2 linked regions of the Macaca mulatta genome follow. The protein of the gene in region 1 purifies or fractionates together with the protein of each later gene. This does not show direct contact. Links are inferred from orthologs where the notes say so. Each region holds a gene or a part of one and is shown in the gene's direction. Other genes may lie near its edges.

What was found. Proteins that work in one complex are often made in the same cells at the same time.
Region 2: the proteins of PSMD5 (region 1) and PSMB2 fractionate together in Homo sapiens (co-fractionation; 3 studies listed by BioGRID). This does not show direct contact. The link is inferred for Macaca mulatta from reciprocal best matches to the Homo sapiens genes PSMD5 and PSMB2.

The regions. Positions count from the first base shown.
Region 1 is NC_133420.1:37,374,238-37,381,929, forward strand, and holds part of PSMD5 (26S proteasome non-ATPase regulatory subunit 5), read left to right. Parts: intron 1-2,095; coding exon 2,096-2,238; intron 2,239-4,307; coding exon 4,308-4,499; intron 4,500-7,692. UniProt on the Homo sapiens protein: Acts as a chaperone during the assembly of the 26S proteasome, specifically of the base subcomplex of the PA700/19S regulatory complex (RC).
Region 2 is NC_133406.1:205,187,833-205,196,060, forward strand, and holds the start of PSMB2 (proteasome subunit beta type-2), read left to right. Parts: upstream 1-3,594; 5' UTR 3,595-3,697; coding exon 3,698-3,788; intron 3,789-8,228. UniProt on the Homo sapiens protein: Non-catalytic component of the 20S core proteasome complex involved in the proteolytic degradation of most intracellular proteins. This complex plays numerous essential roles within the cell by associating with different regulatory particles.

The DNA.
Region 1 (7,692 bases):
TCTACATCCCAGTTTCCTCATCTCTCAGAACAGTAACTGAAAAAGATATTGTGCCGGGCACAGTGGCTTACGCCTGTAATCCCAGCACTTCGGGAAGCTGAGGCGGGTGGATTACCTGAGGTCAGGAGTTCAGGACCAGCCTGGCCAATATGGTGAAACCCCGTCTCTACTAAAAAAAATACAAAAAATTAGCCGGGCGTGGTGGCAGGGGCCCGTAATCCCAGCTACCGGGAAGGCTGAGACAAGAGAATTGCTTAAACCCGGGAGGTGGAGGTTGCAGTGAGCCAAGATCGCGCCATTGCACTCCAGCCTGGGCAACAAGAGCAAAACTCCATCTCAAAAAAATAAATAAATAAAAAGATATTGTAAGAATTAAGCTAATTGACCTTAGAAAGCAGTACAATGGCTGACATAGGTTCTCAAAGAAATGTTTTTTTTTTTTTTTTTTTTTTGAGACGGAGTCTCGCTCTGTAGCCCAGGCTGGAGTGCAGTGGCCGGATCTCAGCTCACTGCAAGCTCCGCCTCCCGGGTTCACGCCATTCTCCAGCCTCAGCCTCCCGAGTAGCTGGGACTACAGGCGCTGCCACCTCGCCCGGCTATTTTTTGTATTTCTTAGTAGAGACGGGGTTTCACCGTGTTAGCCAGGATGGTCTCGATCTCCTGACCTCGTGATCTGCCCATCTCGGCCTCCCAAAGTGCTGGGATTACAGGCTTGAGCCACCGCGCCCGGCCAGAAATGTTAATTCCAGTCTCTTCCACCCTTTATTCCCCCATTCCCTAAATCCCCTTTAATATCTGCCAAATGTTCCTTTGTTGATATTCCACAGCTTATTAATACCTCCTCACTGTTGAACAGTTGATTTGCTTCAAGTATTTTGCTGTTATGATAGCATTATAGTTATCTTTGTGTATATAGGTTTTGATTTTTCTTATCTTAAATGATTTTCTGATTGTCCTGTGTTCTTTAAACATGGCTGAATTTATTAAACCCATATAGTAAATCAGTCACTAGTTACATTGCTTCAGTGCATTTGAGTGTCTCAACCTAATGAGACAATTAATTTTGTTAATTATTTTTTAGCATTGTATCAAATTTTGTGACATAGGAAAAAACCCTATAAATGGTCAGTCAAAACACTTTAGGATCAATTACCAACTGTAAAAATAAATTTTTTAGTTATTTTCTTTGATCAGGGTTGGATATGAGATGATACCAAAGAATTATTGTTAATTTCTTAATATGTGGCAGTGGCATTATAATTGTGTGAGGAAACATACGTGTTTTGCAGAGATGCATACTAAAGTACGCAGGGGTAAATGGCACGGTGACTAGGATTTGCTTTAAAATAGTTCAGCAAAAAGTAGGGAAAAGAGATGAAATAAGTAAAGCAAAATCCTCATAACCATAAAATCAGGTTATGGGTATATGGGGGCTTATTGTATTCTCATTACTTTTGTGTATGTTTGATACTTCAAAATAAAACAAAATTTAAAAAAATATTTTAGGAAGCAGCTAGGTTATAGTGGAAACAATAGTGGACTTCAAATCAGAAGGTCTAGATTTAAATATAAACTCTGTCTGTAATAACAATGTGATTACAGATAAGTCACTGCAACTTTCTAGGCCTTAGGGCCTCATGTGAAAAGAGGAGCCAAGATTAAGGCCGGGCGCGGTGGCTCAAGCCTGTAATCCCAGCACTTTGGGAGGCCGAGACGGGCAGATCACGAAGTCAGGAGATCAAGACCATCCTGGCTAACACAGTGAAACCCCGTCTCTACTAAAAAATACAAAAATCTAGCCGGGCGAGGTAGCGGGCGCCTGTAGTCCCAGCTACTCGGGAGTCTGAGGCAGGAGAATGGCGTGAACCTGGGAGGCGGAGCTTGCAGTGAGCTGAGATCCGGCCACTGCACTCCAGCCTGGGCCACAGAGCGAGACTCCGCCAAAAAAAAAAAAAAAAAAAAGAAAAGAGGAGCCAAGATTATTGACCTTTCAAATATGATGGGAAGAATTAAATAAGATAACCTATATGAGAGCAATCTATAAACTATGCAAATCCTGTGCAAAAATCTTGTTTTTGTCCTTCTGACATTTTAGAGCCACCTGTATAGAAATGGTGACATCACTGGCATATACTCATCATGGACGACAGTATCTTGCTCAAGAAGGAGTAATTGACCAAATTTCTAATATAATCGTTGGGGCAGATTCAGACCCTTTCTCTAGCTTCTATTTGCCAGGTAAGAAACACTGATGCCTATGGAAATGATGGTGCATGTTTTATTTCTGAGTTATCTCTGACGGCAGGGGGTTGGGGTTGGGAGTGGACAGGGATTGTTTCCCTTAGAGCTGATTTCGTTTAGAAGATATCTAGAGCTACCAAATTCAAATTCAACAGCACATTAAAAAGATCATCCACCCTGATCAAGTGGGATTTATCCTAGGGATGCAGGGAGGGTTCAGCATACACAAATCAATAAATAAGATATACTACATTGACAGAATAAAGATGGAAACCAAGTAATGCGGGGAAAAGCGTTTGACAAATTTTAGCTTTCTTTTATAATAAAAACTCTTAACAAATTAAGTATAGAAGAAATCTATCTCAACACAATAAAGGCCAAGTATGACAAACCCACAGCTAACATACTCAGTGAAAAGTTGAAAGCGTTCCTCTAAGATCAGGAACAAGGCCGGGCGTGGTGGCTCACACCTGTAATCCCAGCACTCTGGGAGGCCAAGGCAGGTGGATCACAAGGTCAGGAGATCGAGACCATCCTGGCTAACACAGTGAAACCCCGTCTCTACTAAAAATACAAAAAAATTAGCTGGGCATGGTGGCACACGCCTGTAGTCCCAGCTACTCAGGAGGCTGAGGCAGGAGAATCCCTTGAACATTGGAGGTAGAGATTGCAGTGAGCCAAGATCGCTCTACTGCATTCCAGCCTGGGCGACAAAGTGAGACTCCATCTCAAAAAAAAAAAAAAAAAAAGGAACAAGACAAGGATGTCCACAATTACCACTTCTATTCAACAAATTACAAGAAGTTATAGCCAGAGCAATTAGGCAAGATAAAAAAAACAAAAGGCATCCAAATCAGAAAGAAAGAAGTGAAAATGTCCCTATTTGTAAATGATGTAGTGTTATATTAATATATAGAATAAAGATTCCACCAAAAAACTGTTAGAATGAATAAATAAATTCAGTAAAACTGCAGGATACAAAATCGGTGCATAAAAATCAGTAGCATTTCTATACACTAACAGTGAACTCTGAAAAAGTAATAAAAGATACATTCCCATTTACAATAGCATTCAAAAAAATTAACTATTTATGAATAAATTTAAGGAGGTGAAAGATCTATACGGTGAGAACTATAAAAACTGATGAAGGAAATTGAAGAAGACACAAATAAATGGAAAGGTATCCTATGTTCATGGATTGGAAGAATTAATATTATTAAAATGTTGGTGCTGCCAAAGCACCATATAGATTCAGTGCATTCCCCACCAAAATTCTTAAATTTAATGACATTTTTCACGAAAGCAGAAAAAAAATTAAAAATACGCGTATTTCAGAATACATTGTTCACAATAAAGATATATGATTTTTTAATTTGTCAGTTAAAAGTTAATTTTATTAAAAAGATACCTGTAGCCTCTTACTGAGGTGGAATCTGTTGCTCTGGGAGCTATGTACTGTTGACTTTGATTTTCAGGAAACATCAGTGCTATTTAGAATATTAGGAAATTTTTCTTTTGAATATCAACAAAAAAATAAAAATACTAGTAATGACATTTACAGTATGTTTCACAGATTAATCAAGTCTCTGAGTGGGAATCTTTATTGTAGGATCTACTCTTGCCATTCTATTCTGGGTCTTGGTTAATTAGTCTTTCTTGAACACTTCCAGAAATTGGAGATGTATGCCTTCCTTAGGTAGCCTAGCTACCTAGCTACCTATTTCATTTATTAATGAACATATCCACTTAAAAATTTCTTCCTGGTAATGAGTCTAAACTTGCCTTCCTATAATTTGTATCCACTGGTCCTTTTTCTTTGTTCTCCCTCTTGCATATGCCAGTACTTCAATAGCTGGTCCCAGCTCCATTGACACCCTCTCTCAGGATCACACATCACAGGTCCTTCAGAATCTCCTAATGGTCTCTCTGATCTCCAAGCAACACACTACTGTAACCTTTCTACGCTTTCTGGCCTGCAGTTCATTTCTATTCCTGTGAAGTTATAGGGCCCACAATTCATGCTGTCTTGTTCCCCTATTAAAATATATTCTTGTAAATCTCTTTAGGATTCGTGAAGTTTTTTGGAAACCTGGCTGTCATGGATAGTCCTCAACAGATCTGTGAGCGTTATCCTATCTTTGTGGAAAAAGTCTTTGAAATGACAGAAAGTCAGGACCCCACTATGACTGGTGTAGCTGTAGACACAGTTGGAATCTTGGGATCCAATGTTGAAGGAAAACAGGTTTTACAGAAAACAGGTTGGTATGACTTGGCCCTGTTCAGGGATATCTTAATTTTTGACAGGGGTTCAATGTGTAAGTTCATTTACTGGTGGGTTAACTACATTGTAGAAACTATTTTATGGGTGGCAGTCTTGTTAACCATAACCTTGGACTCATATCTGAAAGTCTAATAATTACTATGGAAAACCTTTTTTTTTTTTTTTTTGACTTTTCACTGTTTAGGTTTCTACCAATCTATTTCAACCAAACATTGTTTCCTGTTTCCCCTCTGTGTCTTCTTTGACTAGATTTCATGGTACAGATGATGGGCTAGAATCAAAAAGGCCTGAATTCATGTCCTTGGGTTTTCTATTTCTTTCTTTCTTTTCTTTCTTTCAGATTGGGAGTGTCTCTCTGTTATACAGGCTGGCTTCAAACTCTCAGGCTCAAGCAATCCTCCTGCCTCATCCTCTTGATTGGCTGGGTCTGCAGGTCCACACCATTGTGTCCAGCCCTGACTTTGCTTTTTGAACTTCATTTACTCACTTTGCTTTTCTAGGCCTCATTTTCTTCATTTATAAAAATGGCATAACAACTACTTCTCAGGGTTGTTGGGAGTATTTACAAAATTTTGGGTTTTTTTGTAATGTCAAGAAAGGAAAATAAAAGTTTGTTATATGATTTCATGTTAAGAGATACTTTTGGCATGTTACGAGATACAGTAGCTCATGCCTGTAATCCAGCACTTTGGGAGGCCAAGGTGGGTGGATTGCCTAAGCTCAGGAGTTCAAGACCAGGCTGGGCAACATGGCAAAATCCTGTCTCTACTCAAGAATACAAAAATTAGTCAGGCATGGTACTGTGCAACTGTAGTCCCAGCTACTTGAGAGGCTGAGGCAGGAGAATTGCTTGAACCTGGCAGGTGGAGGTTGCAGTGAGCTGAGATCGTGCCACTACACTCCAGCCTGGGTGACAGAGTGAGATTCTATCTCAAAAAAAAAAAAAAAAAAAAAAGAGGCCAGGCAAGGTGGCTCATGCCTGTAATCCCAGCATTTTGGGAGGCCAGAGCAGGTGGATCACTTAAGGTCAGGAGTTCGAGACCAGCCTGGCCAACATGGTGAAACCCCATCTCTACTAAAAATACAAAAATCAGCTGAGCATGGTGGCGCATGCCTGCAGTCCCAGCTACTCGGGAGGCTGAGGCAGGAGAATGGCTTGAACCCAGAAGGCAAAGGTTGCAGTGAGCCAAGATCATACCACTGCACTCCAGCCTGGGTGACAGTGCGAGACTCTGTAAAAAGAAAAAAAAAAAAAAAAAAGATACTTTTATGGAACATCCATGAGAATCAACAGCACAACAAATTATACACACAAAATAATATGCAGCCCAATTACTAAAATTCTTGAGACACATATGTTGAAAATTATCTCACCTGTAATCCCAGCACTTTGGGAGGCCAAGAGGGGAGGATTGCTTGAGCCCAGGAATTCAAGACTAGCCTTGGCAACAACAACAAAAAAATTGGCCAGGTGTGGTGGCACATGCCTATAGTCCCAGCCACTCGGGAGACTGAGGTGGAAGACTCATTTGAGCCCAGGAGATGAAGGCTGCAGTGAGCCTTGATCACTCCATTGCACTGCAGCCTAGGTGACAGAGTAAGACTCCATCTCAAAAAAAATTTAAAAAGAGGCCGGGCAAGGTGGCTCATGCCTGTAATCCCAACACTTTGGGAGGCCAAGGCGGGTGGATCGCCTGAGGTCAAGAGTTTGAGACCAGCCTGGCCAACAGTCTCTACTAAAAATACAAAAATTAGCTGGGTGTGGTGGCAGGCACCTGTAATCCCAGCTACTCAGGAGGTTGAGGCAGGAGAATCGCTTGAACCTGGGCAGTGAGCCGAGATCGCGCCATTGCACTCCAGCCTGGGCGACACAGCGAGACTCCATCTCAAAAAACTAAAAATTAGAGAATAGAAAAAGAAAATACGGCCGGGCGCGGTGGCTCAAGCCTGTAATCCCAGCACTTTGGGAGGCCGAGACGGGTGGATCACGAGGTCAGGAGATCGAGACCATCCTGGTGAACACAGTGAAACCCCGTCTCTACTAAAAACTACAAAAAACTAGCCGGGCGAGGTGGCGGGCGCCTGTAGTCCCAGCTACTCGGGAGGCTGAGGCAGGAGAATGGCGTGAACCCGGGAGGCGGAGCTTGCAGTGAGCTGAGATCAGGCCACTGCACTCCAGCCTGGGCGACAGAGCGAGACTCCGTCTCAAAAAAAAAAAAAAAAAAAAAAAAAAAAAAAAAAAAGAAAAAGAAAATACACTGTTGTGTATCACGGCTGATATTTTTGTTGTATGTAGTTTTCTAAGTGCTTTTACCTATGACAATCTTTTTACAATCCTGTAAAGAACATACTATTGTCATTTTCATTTTCCAGATAAGGTAGATGAAACTTAGAGGAGTTAAGAAAATTTCTAAGGTCATACAAATTAGGGCAGCTGCTACTCAAATCCAGGTCCTTTGATTCCAGTTTTATAACTCTGCCTTATATATATGCTGTGTTGTGTGTAATTGTGTGTTCTAGGCCTGTCACTGGTTCTCTGACTACATGCTTATTTTTGTATTGGTTTAGGTTGGTAGAGGTCATAGTGTATGAGAGCATACTTTAAAAAAAAATCTCATTTTTCACTTCAGATCCATTAGGATGGCTATTACTTTAAAAAAAAAAAAAACCATAAAATAGTAAGTGTTAGGATGTGGAGAAATTGTAACCTTTGTGCATTTTACATTTCCTTCATCCAACAGCTCCACTTTCAGGTATATACCAAAAAAATAAAAGCAGAGACTCAAACAAATGTTTGTACACTCATGTTCGTAGCAGCATTTGATTCACAACAACCAAAAAAAGGTGCAAGCAACCCAATGAACATTGATAGATGAATCAATAAACAAAATGTGGTATATACATACAATGGAATATTACTCAGCCTTTAAAAAGAATGAGATTCTGGCACATGCTACAGCATGGAGGAATCTGCACCATTGATAACATTATGCTAAGTGAAGTAAGCCAGACACATAAGGACAGATATTGTACAATTCCACTTAGATGAGATACCTAAAAGAGTCCAGTTCACAGGAGGTAGAATAGGGGTTGGCAGGGGATGAGGGTAGAGAAGAAAGGAAATTATTGTTTAATGGATACAGAGTTTCAGTTTGGGTTGACGAAAAAGT
Region 2 (8,228 bases), on another chromosome or scaffold:
TTGTCTCAGAAAAAATAAAAATAAAAAAGCCTGGAAAGAAAGAGGGATGAATCAGCTTAAAAGATAGTCCTTAGGCTGGGCGCGGTGGCTCACGCCTGTAATCCCAGCACTTTGGGAGGCCGAGATGGGCGGATCACGAGGTCAGGAGATTGAGACCATCCTGGCTAGCACAGTGAAACCCCGTCTCTACTAAAAAATACAAAAAAATTAGCCGGGCGAGGTGGCGGGCGCCTGTAGTCCCAGCTACTCGGGAGGCTGAGGCAGGAGAATGGTGTGAACCTGGGAGGCAGAGCTTGCAGTGAGCTGAGATCCGGCCACTGTACTCCAGCCTGGGCGACAGAGCGAGACTCCGTCTCAAAAAAAAAAAAAAAAAAAAAAAAGATAGTCCTTAAAAAAAAATAATAAAAATACTGTGGATCTGCCAATTCAGAAATCTGCAGCGTTTGTGAATGAATGAATATTGGTATGTACAAAGGAAAGGTCTGGAAGGATACAGACATTTGGTGGGTGGTTACCTTTGATGGAAGGAAAGGTATTTAACTCTTTATTTCTTCTATATTGTTTGTGTATGTGTGTATATATAGTATAACTACGTACTTTTTGCAATTAAAAAAACACACAAACATACACAATGAGAGAGAGAGAGACCTACCCCCTCCAAGTGGTATTTAAGAAAAGAATCTTTCTAGAATGATGGATGCAGCTGTGTTCATAGTGGATGGTTGACTTAATGACCTCACTTGCCCCTGGCATTCATCCCATGATTAATAGGCTGCCTCAAACTCCTCAGGCTCTGTGTTCCTTTATGAGCAGGGAGCTGGAAGAATCATTCAGAATAAAGTAAGTATTACAATTTCTGCAGAGGCAAACGAATTGCATAGTTGTGTTTGGAGATACAATTGCAACTCTTTTCCCATTTCTCAATAAGCTAATATGAAGACTCAGTTGTAGATGTCAGAAACCCAATCAAGAAATATTTCACCTTTTTTTTCAGAATTGCTTCAAGATATAAAGGAATGGCTGGCTTTTTTTTTTTTATTAGAAAAAATACAAATAATACATGAGCATTGTAAAAATTCAAACAATACTCATGTGTATAAAATAAAAAGTGAAAGTTCTCCCTTCAAATTACACTCACCAGGGTAATAACTGCATATAATTTGACACTAGAATACCTGTAAATAAGTATTTACAGGTATTTCCATTCATTTTCAAATATTCATCATTAAACAAAATGGCATCAGGCTACAGATAAAAAAGCATTTTTATTTTCACTTAATTTATCTTGGGCCATGGAATATATAGGTATATTTAGATTTGTCTCATTCTTTTTATGGGTGAACAATATTCCACTGTGACTGTCCAATTTTTTTTTTTTTTTGAGACAGAGTTTTGCCCTTGTTGCCCAGGCTGGAGTGCAGTGGCGTGATCTCAGCTCACTGTAACCTCTGCCTCCTGGGTTCAAGCGATTCTCTTGCCTCAGCCTCCTGAGTACAGGTGCCTCCTTCACGCCCAGCTAATTTTTTGTGTTTAGTAGAGACCGGGTTTCACCATGTTGGTCAGGTTGGTCTCAGGTGATCCACCCACCTCGGCCTCCCAAAGTGGTGGGATTACAGGCATGAGCCACCACACCCAGCCCAACGTCTCCACTTTTAGACATGTAAGTTGGTCCTCTTTTGTGTTGTTTGTGTTGTAGTGCTGCAACACTAACTATCCTTTTTTTTTTTTTTTTTTTGAGACGGAGTCTTGCTCTGTTGCCCAGGCTGGAGTGTAATGGTGTGATCTTGGTTCACTGCAACCTCTGCCTCCTGGGTTCAAGTGATTCTCCTGCCTCAGTCTCCCCAGTAGCTGGGATTACAGGCGCATACCACCACGCCCAACTAATTTTTGTATTTTTAGTAGAGACGGGGTTTCACCATGTCAGCCAGGCTGGTCTTGAACTCCTGACCTTGTGATCCGCCTGCCTTGGCCTCCCAAAGTGCTAGGATTACAGGCGTGAGCCACTGTGCCCGGCAACACTGAATATCTCTGTACACAAATATTAGGACAGTGTGTACAAACATGTCTTCTGGACATATTCAAAAGGTTATGCACACTTAATTTTAACAGATATTAAAATTGTTCTCTATAAAAAGGTTGTACAACTTAGAACCTTACCCCTAATTTATACTTTCTCATTGTTTCTTATTTCACATTTTCCTAATTACCATCTAGGTTGAGGATATTTTCATATTTATTGGCCATTCGTGTTGCTTCTTTTGTGAATTGTTTTTCTTAAGTCTTTGGTCTTGTTTTTTGAGACAGAGTCTCTCTCTGTTGCCCAGGCTGGAGTGCAGTGCCGCAATCTTGGCTTACTGCAACCTCCGCCTCCTGGGTTCAAGCAATTCTCCTGCCTCAGCCTCCCGAGTAGTACAGGCGCCTGCCACCACACCCAGCTAATTTTTTGTATTTTTAGTAGAGATGGGGTTTCACCATATTGGCCAGGCTGGTCTCGAACTCCCGACCTCTTGATCTGCCCGCCTCGGCCTCCCAAAGTGCTGGGACTACAGGCGTGAACCCCCGCGGCCTGCCGGGTCTTTTAAAAATGATATTGCTCCCCCCGCCCCCCTCCCATTGGTTTGTAGGAATATCTTCTAAGTTATAGATATTAACTTTTTCCTTTTTTCTGTCTATAAGGTCCAAAATAGTAACTATTTCTACAATTGAAACATCCTCAACTTACATTTATTGTGGAGCATGAGAATGACTTTCACCACATAGAGACTTGTAATCTTATGTAGTCAAATCTGTCACGTCTTTTCTTATACTGCTTCTGGGTTCCCTGTCACACTTAGAAACACATCTCTTCCAAAAATTACAAAAAAATTTTTTACTTTTTCTTCCATGTTTATATCTTTTTTTTTTTCTTTTTTTGAGACGGAGTTTTGCTTTTGTTGCCCAGGCTGGAGTGCAATGGCACGATCTCGGCTCACGGCAACCTCTGCCTCCCGGGTTCAAGTGATTCTCCTGCCTCAGCCTCCAGAGTAGCTGGGATTACAGGCGCCCGCCACCACGCCCCGCTAATTTTGTATTTTTAGTAGAGACGGAGGTTTCTCCATGTTGGTCAGGCTGGTCTCGAACTCCCGAGCTCAGGTGATCCGCCCGCCTTGGCTCCCCAAAGTGCTGGGATTACAGGCGTGAGCCACTGCGCCCAGCCGATTCTTACATCTTTAATCCAACCATATATTATTTTTGTGAAGGATGGAGGTAAGTCTCCCCTCAAGTTAATTTTTCTCCAATCTGGCTTGCAGGAAAGGGGTTTCTGGGGAGATTTTACTGAGCAACGTAGGGAAACGGCTGCCTGGCGACCTACCCCTTTTTGACACCCACACGTGCTCGGCACCTTACATACACTGCGTGATTTTATCCTAAAGCGAGTTTTAAAATCCCAGTGCGTAGACAGAGAAACTGGGCGTCACATAACGTAAGTGACCTGCACAGTCGGCGTCGGAGGAGACAAGCGCCGAGCTCAAGGAACCCGGCACCGCGCCCGCTTTCCAACCTCTCGCGACAGTTGTACGTCATTCGAGAGCGCCGTGGAAGTCGCGCAGCCGGCGTCGCGCCAATCTTCGCTAGTAGGTGCTGTCTCACCGGTGAGACCTGGAAGCCGGCGAGTCTCGCGCTTTGTCGGACCTGCAGCCCCTGGCCTCCCGCCACCATGGAGTACCTAATCGGTATCCAAGGCCCCGACTATGTCCTTGTCGCCTCCGACCGGGTGGCCGCCAGCAATATTGTCCAGATGAAGGACGGTGAGAGGAAGCAGGGGAGGCCCGGCCAGGCCTGGGGTGTCGGGGCGACCAGAGGGAGTTTGTCGGGGGTTGAATGTGTGCCAGGGAGGATCGAAGAGGTGGAAGCCGGCCTGCCCTGCCCATACTTACTTAATTAATTACTTTATTTTTTTCGAGATGGAGTTTCGCTCTTACTGCCCAGGCTCTAGTGCAATGGCACTATCTCGGCTCACCACAACCTCAGTCTCCCGGGTTCAAGCGATTCTCGTGCCGCAGCCTCCCGAGTAGCTGGTATTATAGGCATGCGCCACCACACCCGGCTAATTTTTGTATTATTAGTAGAGATGGGGGGGGTTTCTCTGTATTGGTCAGGCTGCTCTCGAACTCCCGACCTCAGGTGATCCCGCCGTCTCGGCCTCCCAAAGTGCTGGGATAACAGGCGTGAGCCGCTGTGCTCGGCCTTTTTTTTTTTTTTTTTTTTTTTTTTTTTAAAATAACGGAAGCAACAGGCAGACAAGTCTGGGGCCTTGGCATTTGCTCCTCCCGGGCTCCTAGGTCAGTGCTCTGCTCTGGCCTTCGCTAAATGCTTCTTGCTTGGTGAGAGTTGCCTAAAGGGAATCTGTTTATAAATGTTTAAGCGCCTGCCCAGAACCTGGCTCTCTAGATCCCCGAATCTCTTATAAAAGTTTCCTGTTGTCGCTAGTAATGAGGTTTGTTGGCGACATAAGGTGGGATCCTGGGGACAGTCAGACTGTGATACCAGAAGCTTGTCATTTTCTTTCCGCTGCCCGTATCTCCCGGTGGCTCCCGATTCTTCTTTTTCAGCTTTCCAGGACAATGGCTGCCAGGTTTTCCTTATATTTAAGTAGTTAATGGAGTTAGGAGATTGGAGCCCTGTCATTTATTTGCCTTATGACTTTGATTAAGTTATTTCGCAGTGCCCAGATTTCCTCATCTTTAAGATTAGCAATACCAAACTCACAGACTTGTCGGGAGGATTGAGTAAATGAGTTATGCGCAAATCCTTCGCACTAGACAGGTACTTAATACTAAGCATACACAGGTGCCCAAACATTTGTCAAATGAACATTAAGTCATCTGAACCAGAGCTTAATACTTTTTCAACAGTAGCACGTCTTTGATCAATTAAGGAAAACAAACTTAGATTCTGCAGGAAAAACAACCAAAATCTTCTTAAAATTATGTATTGAGTAATTTACTGTAGAGAGACGGTATAGTACAGTAGTTAGGGGCAAAATATCTGGACTCACTGCATAGGTTGAACCCAGGTTCTGCCTCATGTGACCTGAAGTAAGTTTCTCCAACTCCGTGCCCTAAAGCTAGCATCTATAAGGTGGTGATGTAATAGCACCTATCTTAAAAGGTTAATGAATTGATGGAAATCGCTTAACACAGCACCTGATACTTTATGAAATTCTATGATTAGTTTGTAGAAGTTTTGTTTGTAAGCTAGTCCTCCCAAAGGAGTGAATTTGTTTTGAGAGTAAATTTGTCCATTATTTTGAATTCTGAGGTCTTTGACAAGCAAGTGATTTTAGCATTAAGTCATGTCTAGGTAGAACAATAATCATTACCTTTACAGGTCTTTTGTTTCATCCCAAAAATGTATGTGAAATCACATTGAAAAGAAGAACGTGCTTTAAGCCTACTTATGTACACAGTACTTTTAGTCATTATAGGGGATGCAGTATATTACTTATAACCCATAGAAGAGTCCAAGACATTAAGAAAACAAGGAAATAAATACTGCAAGATGATTTTATGTGGTAAAAGAAGTATTACTAGTTAGTATTAGGTTGGTTTTTAAATTAATGAGTTCAAGAGCAAATCCTAAGTAATAAAAGAATGATCACTATGGTATGGGAGAAAGACGAATTTGAGTTAGTTCTTGAAAAATAGTTGGAAATCATTGCACTCCACACATTCTGATTTTCCCTATGGTCTTTCCTGGTATAAAAACATTTATAATATAAATTTTAGTATTGTATGATGACTTTATTTATTTTTGAGATGGAAGCTCGCTCTGTCACCCAGGCTGGAGTGCAATGGCGTGATCTTGGCTCACTGTGACCTCAGCCTCCTGGGTTCAAGCTATTCTCCTGCCTCAGCTTCCCCAGCAGCTGGGACTACAGGCACCCGCCACCACACTCGGCTAATTTTTTTGTCTTTTTTAGTAGAGACGGGGTTTCACCGGGTTAGCCAGGCTGGTCTCAAACTCCTGACCTCAGGTGATCCACCTGCCTTGACTTCCCAAAGTGCTGAGATTACAGGCATGAGCCACTGTGCCCGGCCGTATGATGACTTTTTTCTAATCATTCATTTAATGATGGAGCTTGTTTAGAGTAGGCAAGAATGCTGCAAAATAATAACCTTCTGGGACTCCTTTCTCCAAGTTTAAATGATAATACAACTTCTAATCAATTGTCCAGTATATCACTTTGTATAAACATTTTGATACTATAGAGTAGACATTTGCTGAGGACTGCCACCTTATTAAGCGGTAACAACTTGTGGTTTGCTTATGTGCTGCATTTCATGTCTCTTCTCTTGGCCTATGTAGAATTGCTTTTAAGTTACTCGAAGTACTCCAGCCCACACAGAATTCTCTCTTTTCTGAATTCCTATAGCATGTATGATCTGAGCTACATTATCTAACACTGAGTATCATAATATTGGACATGTATAGAATTCATTAATTTTTCTCACTTGTGAGTTAGACAGGGGTAAGTGATGTTATTAACATTTCGCACATCTGGAAACTGGGGCTTAGAGAGGACAAGTAATTTGCTGAAGTTCAGAGTGCCAAGTCCACGTCATAACCAAGGTCTCTTGGATTCTAGTCCAGTTGGTTTTCCACAGTATGACATGCTAATGTTGTTCATTTTGTTGTCCATTTGTTTCATGTATGTGGATCTTGTAAGTTCCTTGTCAAGAATCAGAAATTCCCCAGAGCTACACAGGCAGTTTCCTGTACAACTCAGGGGTCTCTTAGTATCTATCTCTTGTGTTTTTATTAAATATGTTGCCTTCTGCGACTCATTGGTCATAGTGTTTAAAAAACATTTTTGGCCTTGTATTAAGCTAATTTTAAAATGGAACAGGTTACTGCCTAGATTTTTAGCCTTTCTTCTAAGTGTGACATAAGTTCTTTGTGAACAAGCTCCCCCCTCAAATAAAAATAGCTTTTTTCTTATTTTAATGATATTGCCAACTTATTGAATAATGTTTTCTTATAAAAGTGAGGCATATTAAGTATAGAAGTTTTAGGAAATACCGATAAGCAAAAAGAAGGGAACAAAAACTGCCCATACTCTTACCACTGGCAAGCACTTAGCATATACCCTTCTGCTCCTTTTTTTTTGCATAGATAATATAAGCGAACGTTTTTCTCTTACTAATATTGCAAACTAACAGTCTTTAATGTAACCTGTACAACAAATAAAAGTGTGTTTGTTCAGGAGTTTTGAGGCAATTTGGTGCTATCTACAGGTGCATTTTGTGTGTTTTTTCCCTCCAAGTCTAAGAAGCCATATTACTGGTATCTACAACTCTGAAACACTTGTAAAGTATTTGACAGTAGCATTTTGTTCTTTAAATCCTATTAAAGGATTTTGACATTTCAGAAGCTTTCAAACAGGAAACATGTCTCCCAGGGAAGATTATTCAGCACTATTTGAAAAATGAAAAGTGAAAGTGAGAGTGAGATAGGAAGATTTAGGCCTTTTCTGAAGCTGCAGACTGAATGTGGAGTTTTCTACCTTAGGCAATAACTGTAACCTGAATATTTATCTATCTAATCTGAATGAGTCTGGTTCAGCTAGATAAGATTAGAGTATTAGGATTTTTGTGAGGTATTTTAAGTAGCTTACTGTCAAAATATTCACTAGAATTTTTGCTTTGGCAATCGTTTTAATTTTCTCTTTTTCTTTGGCAATGGAATTTGTTTACTTTTTAAAGTGATTAATATTCTCAGTTGATTTTCTATTCTTTCTTGAGATGGTTCCTTAATTTTAATTGTAGCATCAGTCCCTTTCATATATACTTTTGTGTGTGTATAAATATAATAACTAACATTTGTAGTTGTGGAAACATTTTAGGGCTTTGTTATCATGAGCCTAAAGATAATCGCCATTGGCTGGATTCCTTCAGTTTTTTCTGTTCTGTTCCTTGCATTTCAAATGCTTTTCAATGCTTTAACTTGTATTTTTAATTGGTAGCTTTCATGTATATTCTTCAACTGAAATTGACACTACACAATATGCTGATGGTTTAACATGAAGAATGAAAGAGATAAATTGATACCATTACCTATTAAAATCTTCTAAAAGCAATGATTAGTGAAATTATTCAATATACAGTCGTCCCTTGGTATCTGTAGGGATTGTTTCCAGAACCCCTGCAGATACCCAAATCTGTAGAAGCTTAAAGTTCCTTATATAC